Linked DNA regions of Ovis aries. The protein of the gene in region 1 interacts with the protein of each later gene in a pairwise test. Links are inferred from orthologs where the notes say so. Each region holds a gene or a part of one and is shown on either strand. Other genes may lie near its edges.

The links. The genes of interacting proteins can lie anywhere in the genome.
Region 2: the proteins of DMRTB1 (region 1) and VASP interact in a two-hybrid assay, tested with the Homo sapiens proteins (2 studies listed by BioGRID and IntAct). The two-hybrid records come from large-scale screens. The link is inferred for Ovis aries from reciprocal best matches to the Homo sapiens genes DMRTB1 and VASP.

The regions. Positions count from the first base shown.
Region 1 is NC_056054.1:27,981,458-27,985,823, reverse strand, and holds the start of DMRTB1 (doublesex- and mab-3-related transcription factor B1), read right to left. Parts: upstream 2,874-4,366; 5' UTR 2,553-2,873; coding exon 1,967-2,552; intron 360-1,966; coding exon 154-359; intron 1-153.
Region 2 is NC_056067.1:52,898,531-52,902,175, reverse strand, and holds part of VASP (vasodilator-stimulated phosphoprotein), read right to left. Parts: intron 2,810-3,645; coding exon 2,638-2,809; intron 2,555-2,637; coding exon 2,389-2,554; intron 1,324-2,388; coding exon 1,230-1,323; intron 732-1,229; coding exon 682-731; intron 562-681; coding exon 320-561; intron 185-319; coding exon 84-184; intron 1-83. UniProt on the Homo sapiens protein: Ena/VASP proteins are actin-associated proteins involved in a range of processes dependent on cytoskeleton remodeling and cell polarity such as axon guidance, lamellipodial and filopodial dynamics, platelet activation and cell migration.

The DNA.
Region 1 (4,366 bases):
AGCATACAAGGCCAATGCTGTATCCTTCCACCCATTGCCCATGTCCTGGTATAGAGTGAGCACAATGGCTGGCTGCCTGGGAGAAAGTCTGTTAAAGCAGCCAGGGCAGCTGAAATAGGGAGGAACTTCGAAAATATCAGGAATGGGACTCACCAAGCCTCCTCCATAGTAGTGGCTATAGGACAGGTGCTGGAAACTCTGCTGCAGAGGGATCCCCACACTTGGGGACGCATCCTGGTAGCCCAGAGGAAAAGGGCGGTAGGGGTGCATGCTGGAGCAGCTGGGGTACAGCTTGGGAGGTTCTCTCTCCAGGCACTCAGACCCCACCACAGAATCTGAGTTGATGCTCAGAGGGAGCCCTGAAAAGACATGCAACGAGGGAAGTGTTAAAAACACATGGAGCTAGAAAAAAGGGCACCATATTATCGTCTGAAGGTAGCAGTATAAATAAACACTCATATCCATTCACAGACAACTCCCATATCCATTATGCTTTTGATCCTCCCTGCTTTTTAAACCCTTCAACCATGTTCTGTTGCCCTCAGCAAAAGTCCTTGGCCCAGCCATGAAGCCCACGCAGACTGCATTCCTGCCTTCACTCCAGCCTCACTGTCTGATCACTAGTAGCGCCTTCTTTCTCCTCCACCTCAGGGCCTCTGCAGATGCTGTCCCCTCTGCTTGGAAGGCTTTTTTTCCTAACTCCACTTGCCTTCTTGAATCCTCAGTGCTCAGCTCCTGATCTTCCTTCAGACCACAGCTAAACCACTGGTTATTAGAGTTCTCTGTGATGTCCTTTTCTTTCACAAGGACAAGATCCTTGAGGGCAAGGAATCTGACTCACCCCTCTTCACCTTTTCATCACTAGTGCTGGGCACACAGTGCTCAGTTGATGGAACAAAGAAAGGCTCCATATCCGTAGAAAGGTATCCTTCTCCTAGAACTGCTTTTCAGATCTGTCTTCCTCATCTAGTTCTCTAGGGACCTATATTTTCCTAGAACGTCCCAGAAGGCAGAACTGGCCTTCGGAGAGCATCAAGCCAATCCCCTTAGCCTACAGAGGGGCGAGGCTGTCACAGAAGGAAGGAACTTGCCTTAGATTACCAAGTGAGCAGCCCCTCAGCGTCCTGACTCAGACTTGCGCTCTTTCTACCACACTGCCATAGAGAAAACCAGAAAACACGTGTCTGCACCCAAAATGAGCCCCTTTTTAAAAGTCTCAAACCTACATGTGACTTGAAATTATAATAGTGAAAGTTACAATACCTAGGGAACAATGTAATTTATGCATGTGGAGGGAGGAGAGAAAAACAGCAACCACGTCTCAATAGACTGTTCTCTTGTAGGGAGCAGAAAAGAGGTCTCATTCCCATCCATGCCTGGGAAACAGGTGGGAAGAACGCCCATACACAGCCATTGGGCCAGAGCACGGCTGAGGAGCAAGCTGACTAGGGCACAGAAGATGGGGGAGGGGTGGGCGGAGGGACGCAGGTGCAGTCATAAGGCGCTGGCCCACCCACGAGGACGTTCTGGGGGAGGAGCCTCCAGCACCAGAAAAGGGTGGGAAGAGTTGCGCAAGCGCAATATGGCCACTCTCCCGCGATCCCCTCTGTTGGGAGGAGGAGCCTCAGCTAAGCAGACTGGGGGGCCATTTTTTTTGTGTGTGTGCGGCCATTTTTTTTTTCTCCCGGAATGGGAAAGCAGAGACTATAGCTAAATGTTTTTTAAAATTACCCCCTCAGAACCACCCATTCCTTTCTCTCTTTTTACCTTCTTGCAAAAAGGCACCAAACCCAAATGCCTACTCAGAAAAAGGTATCCCGAAGCAAGATTCCCTCTAGAAAGCATCTTCCCACCCCCACCCCAAGGGCCCATACGCGCGGCTGGCCTGGGACGCCAGAGTGAGGGAAGTGGGGAGGCGGAGAGGAACCAACAGCGGGACAAAGGCTCAGGGCACCGGGAATCTTACCGAAGTCGGTGAACGGCGGGCTCGGCACAGGCCGCGGCAGCCTGCGCAGCTCCAGGCAGCCGGGGTAGCCCCGGCCGGCGGCCTCCGCCGTCAGCTGGGGCTCCAGAGAGCTGGGCCTGGCCCTGGCTGCTTGTTCGCTCAGGCCCACGTGGCCGCGGTTGTGGCCGCCCAGAACTGGCTGGAAGGCACTCGGGCTGGGGCTCTGGCCCCGCGGGGGCCTCTCAGGGAGGCAGGCGGCCGCTTGGCCCGAAGGGCCCGGCTGCGCGTCTCCCAAAGGGGCAAGCGGAAGCAGCGGGCAGAAGCTTGGGCCTGGGGTGGCGGCCGCGCCCCCGGGGGCCAGCTGGGGTCCCTGTGCGCACAGGGCCACCTCCTGCTCCTCTCCAGAGGCCTGCTTCTTGAGCATCTTTTGTGCAGCCACGATCTTCTGGCGCTCGGTGATCAAGTAGCACTTCTCGCAGGTGCACTGCTTCCAGCGGCACTTGCCCGCGTGGCCCTTGACTGGTACCAGGAAGCCATGGTTCCGGCACCGCGAGCACTTGGGGGTACGAAGCATCTTCTTGGCCTGCTTTGTAAGGTCTGCATTCATAGCACAACCGTCTCCTCTGAAAGCTTCAGGGACAGTGAAACAGAGAGAAGCAGTCCGCCCAAGTCCCTGGTGCTGGGAGCTTTGGATACACTTGTAACAAGGTGGTGTTCAGTGCGTCCCAGGAGCTGCAGCAAGACCCTTGCATTCTCTCTTTTCTTTGGTGCAAAATTTGGAGAGGTTCTGTGCCTTGGTTAACAAGATGCAAAGGATTGGGTTGAATAAGTTCTTCAAGTAATGCTATTGCATGTATGTCATCTGGGTTAGCTGAGTCTTATGCATGTAATTTCCAAACTTTCTCTTCCTGCCGTACGGTATACAGAAGGTATTTCATGATTAAAAAAAAAAAAAAAAAAAAGGCGGAGTGATACTCAAGGATTCACAGATTCAAAACTCCAGAGGAACGCAGCTGTTGGTAAACCTGTTGCAGTAGAAAAGGATTCCAAGTGTCAAACCGTGTTTCTCCATACAGAAGCTGCTGCTTCTGTTTAATTTCACTTTTTTCCCCTACAGAGAAGCAACTGTTCACAGTGATGCTTCCAGAATATTCTCAGGAGCTCAGTGCGGTGTGATGGTTGCTCAAGGGTGTGCCTTTAGAGTAATTACCATTTTTAAAGTCTAGTTGGTATAGGAATGCATCTCTGGAAGTGGCATATTGCAGTTGATGCCTTCCAAAGAAAAGCATACTTAGAATGATTTAAAGTAAAAGGGACTTAGGATATTTTAGCATGAGCTTGAACCAGTACTTAATTGTGCCATGAATTCAGTTATTCCTGTAAAGCAACCCAAATCTTGGGACACCTGCAAAGCTGCCATAACTTCATAGTTTTCCCAAGACTGCTAAGCTAATTCATTTTCTTGTTTGATAGAAATTCGTGACACCCTGATGTCTCCCCCCCCCACTCCCCCGCTTAGGTCCCAAAAAGAAAGAAAGGAAAAAACAAACAAACAAACGTCATCATAGGATTAATCATTACCTTTAAGGGGGTTCAGTTCAGTTCAGTTTAGTCGCTCAGTCGTGTCCGACTCTTTGCGACCCCATGAATCACAGTATGCCAGGCCTCCCTGTCCATCACCATCTCCCGGAGTTCACTCAGACTCATGTCCATCGAGTCAGTGATGCCATCCAGCCATCTCATCCTCTGTCGTCCCCTTCTCCTCCTGCCCCCAATCCCTCCCAGCATCAGAGTCTTTTCCAATGAGTCAACTCTTCGCATGAGGTGGCCAAAGTACTGGAATTTCAGCTTTAGCATCATTCCTTCCAAAGAAATCCCAGGGCTGATCTCCTTCAGAATGGACTGGCTGGATCTCCTTGCAGTCCAAGGGACTCTCAAGAGTCTTCTCCAACACCACAGTTCAAACGCATCAATTCTTTGGCGCTCAGCCTTCTTCACAGTCCAACTCTCACATCCATACAAATACCTGGCTAAAATGTGTATTTTTTAATTGTCCTTTCGCTGAAGTTTTCCGTACCTGGTAACAGAATGGTAGAAGTGAGAGCCAAGGCCTGGTGTTCACCTTGATCTTCCTGAGCCGCTGGTTGCAGGTGTACTTTGCATTTCTCACCAACTACCTGACAATAGGAAATGGTTGCCATTCTGAGGCTGATTATATACTGGAAAGCTGAAAAGATGTTTGTAAAGTTTTTTTCCTGCTTTGAAGAAATATATTACTCATCTTAAGAGGGCAGAAGTATATGTTTCCTGTATAATTTGACCCTTTAAGAATGTCACTGTTATTTCAATCCGTTTAAAGAGATCTAGGTTTGTCTCTGCTTTGCTCTAACAGCCTGTATCTTAATTTTTTATTTAAAAAAT
Region 2 (3,645 bases), on another chromosome or scaffold:
AATCTCCAGGTGATAACTGCTGGGTTGAGGGGTTTGTTTTGAGAGCTTTCCAAGACCATTGAGAGCTCTGAGCTCGGGCTCACCTCCGGGCCAGCATGGCGTTCATCTCCTCCATGAGGCCTCCGCCCGTGCTTCGACTGCTCTCAGCTTTGGGGGCCACGGGCCCCGCTGAAGCCTCCTCCTGCTGGAGAAATTACAGAGAAGAGAGGGCTTTACGGGCGGGCCTCCCAGCCCTCCTGTGAGGCTCCCAGGCAACTCTAGCCTCATTCCATTATTATATCAGACCCGTCACCCCACATCCGCTGCGCCTGCCCCTCACCTTGCTAACTTTCCTGAGTTTGGCGCCGGCAATGGCTGAGGCCAGGCTGGGGGCCCCGGTCCCTCCACCACTGGGGCCTTGTGCTGTGGGGAGAGGGGGTGCCGGGGGCGGGCCTCCCCCTGCTCCCTGTGTGGCGGCCGAGACCCCTGAGGAGGAGAGACCAGGGGGTGGGGGTGGACCTGGAGGAGGGGGAGGTCCCGGGGGCGGTGGAGGTGCCCCAGCTGGGGGAGCAGGCGGGCCTCCTGTAAGGAACACAAAACAGGAGGGGTGCTGAGAGAGAAGCTTCATGCTTTGCTGTCCGGCTGGCCCACCCCCTCCTCTGGGGCGGTCCCCTGACCCCCCGAGGCCATTTGAGCAATCACCTGCGTTGGAGGCTCTGCGCTCCCGCTCCATGAGCTCTGACTGCTGCTGCCTGGGGAGGGAGGGCGAGTGGCTATCACCCAGGGCTCCCAGGTGGCCAGCAACCTCCCGGATTGCCCCTCAGAGGTGTCCGGCAGGGCTGGTTCCTAAGCCCCACTCATGTCCTCTATCCCCGAGGGACCCGGGAAAGGGCTGGGGGGTGGGGTGGTGAGGGCAGGGACAGGGCAAGACCGGGATGGGAGCGATCCAGTCATCAGACCATCATGAATCACAAAACGCCCAAGATCCTTTAAACAACCCCGTTCTGGACTCTGCAAGTCCAGGGGACTGGGATTGGGATTTGAAGGGTTCTGTAACTCTGGGCATCAGGAGTTTTTCAAACTCCAAGGCGGGGAGGGTGGTTCTTAAGGCTGTGGATTTCTAGTCCCCTGGGAGTTGGAACATTCTGAAAATTGAAAGTTGGACAGGTCTGAACTCTAGGCGTCAAGGGTTTTGGAACCACCTAGAACTCTGGCTGGGGGAAGGTTTCCCACCCGGGGACCAGCCCCACCTTTTCTGCTGCTCCATCTCCTCTGGCGAGGGGCCATTCTGGGCAGACCAGGTGGGAGGCGCTGTAGGTGGTGGTGGGGGCGGGGGCCCACCTCCTGGAAGTGAGAGTAAAGGCTAGTGAGTCACACAGAAGCCAGCCCCACCCCTTGGCACGCTCCCGAGGGGCCTCCGGGTACCCTGTGAGGAGGGTTGGCTCCCGCTTCCCCTGACTGAGCTGACAGGTGGTGGGCACTGGAAGGATACCCAGATCACAGGCAGGACAGCGAAGGCCCATAGAAGGGGGTCACCCACCCCAAGGCCTGCAGATGGGAATTGGCAGGGACAAGACTTGAATTCAGGCAGATTCCAGAATCCAGGCTCTTAACGCACAGTCACAGCTGCTCAGACCCCCTACCTGAGAGCTCAGAAGAGGCTGACAGCCCCCTCCTCACCCAGCCTCAGGCCTCCGGCTCCCGTTATTTCTTGTGCTTCAGACTGCCACTGCAGTTGCCCTTGGAAGCAAATGCCTCCACCATTTGACAACTGGCGAACCTAGACGCACAGCCGTCACCTAAAACCGTTGCTCCTCAAAGTGCTCCTTATGGACCGGTCAGCTCTGGCATCATCAGGGAGCTTGTTGGGAAGCACAGAGGCTCCGGTCTTGGCCCACCTACCTGATTCAGAATCTGCATTTTTTCTTAGATGACTCGCAGGCACATTCCAGTTTAAGAAATACCAACTGGAAGTATTTTCTTAACATTGTGGCTTGAAAACTGACTGACAATGATGTCAGTCAGTCTAATGGTTACCTGGAGAAAGGGCAAAGGAAACCTCCCGGAGGCCTGAAATATTTCTATCTTGATCTGGGAGGTGGTCACAAAGGAGTGCGCAAGTGTAAAAATTCACGGAGCCAAATGGGCTCTTAGGAACCATGCGTTTGACACGTGGGTGCACGCAGGGCAAAGAGGAGCCCACAAAATTGGGTTGGCGAAAAAAACCTATTTGGATTTCTCCGTAGCATTGGAAAAACCTGAATGAGCTTTCCGGCCAGCCCAGAAACTCTCCGTAGCAGCAGTGAATGGGCCCTGTTTTCAGATGAGTATACTGAGGCCGAGTGGTAAAGGGGCAGCCCCAGGCCCCACGGCAGGGCTCAACGGTCCCCTCCGCCCACTGTCTCTAACCTTCCAAGGCCTCTAGGGCGCTGGCCATGCCATTGGCAAACTGCGTGGCATCCTCCTTGCTGCCAAAGTTGAGGCCCCAGACTTGCCGGGCATCGCGCCACTGGTGGAAGTTGGGGGTGGCTTGGTTATACTTGACACCTCGGACGATGGCACAGTTGATGACCACCTGGCGGGAGGCAGGGAGGGGAGAAGTGGATGGGGGTGGTGAGGCCCCGCAGGCAGAGGGGGCGAGGAGGAGGGGAGCCTCACCTGCTGGTCCGGCTGCATCTTGCGGCCGACCACCCGGAAGGAGTTGGCGGTGGGGTTGTGATAGATCTGGACGCGGCTGAAGGCCTGCGGGCCCGTGCCGGCGGGCAGCCAGCGCTTGTTGCTGTCATCATAGAGCATCACCGTGGCCCGGCTGGTGCACACAACCGTCTCGCTGCAGAGAGGCGGGCGGGGGCAAGGGGGAGAGGCCAGTTAGCTCTGGGGAGCCTGGCATCCTCCCCCCAGGGGCCGGTCACCTTCTCGTTCCCCTGGGAGATTCACAGACACAAAGTCAGTGTGCCAGGAAGAGGGACCCAAGGAGAGGAAGAGGAAGACAGACCGAGAGAGAGGGCTGAGGACAGGCCCTCAGAGAGACCCAGACAGGGAGACTGGAGAAGAAAAAGACGGGTGGGACGACAAAAGACAGACTGGGAGAGACAGACAAATAGACAAACCGGGGGATGTGAGACAGACAAGGAAAGAGACAGACAGTCAAACGGGGAGCAAGAGACAGGAAGAGGACGAGTCAGACCGGCTGGAAGAGGCAAACATACAGACTGATGACGGGGAGAGAGGTAAGAAAGGGGGTCAGATTGTTACAGGGGAGGCGGACTGAGATGGACCGAGAGACAGAGATGTGGCGTGAGAGCTGATGGGGGGGGGCCCGGGAGAAGCGGATGCAAGGGACAGAGCAGGTGTCCTGGGCAGCATTGGGAACAAGCCCCTGCCCGATGCCCTTGGAGCCTCAGTTTCCCTGTCTCTGCCAGGAGGCTTGGACCTTCCTGCCCCGACTCCCCACTGTGGAGGGAGGAAGCTGAGGCTCAGGGAGGTGAAGGGTGAGGCTTGCAGCAAGTTGGGGACCGATGCAAGATCCCAGGCTCTTCCCCTTCCTGCTGCCCACCCCATCCATCCGGCACCACCCACCCTCCCCCGCCCCCTGGCACCAACGGCCATCAGCAGACACTCCCTGCTCTGTGTCCAGCAGTGACCCAGACAGCCCCAGCCCCCACC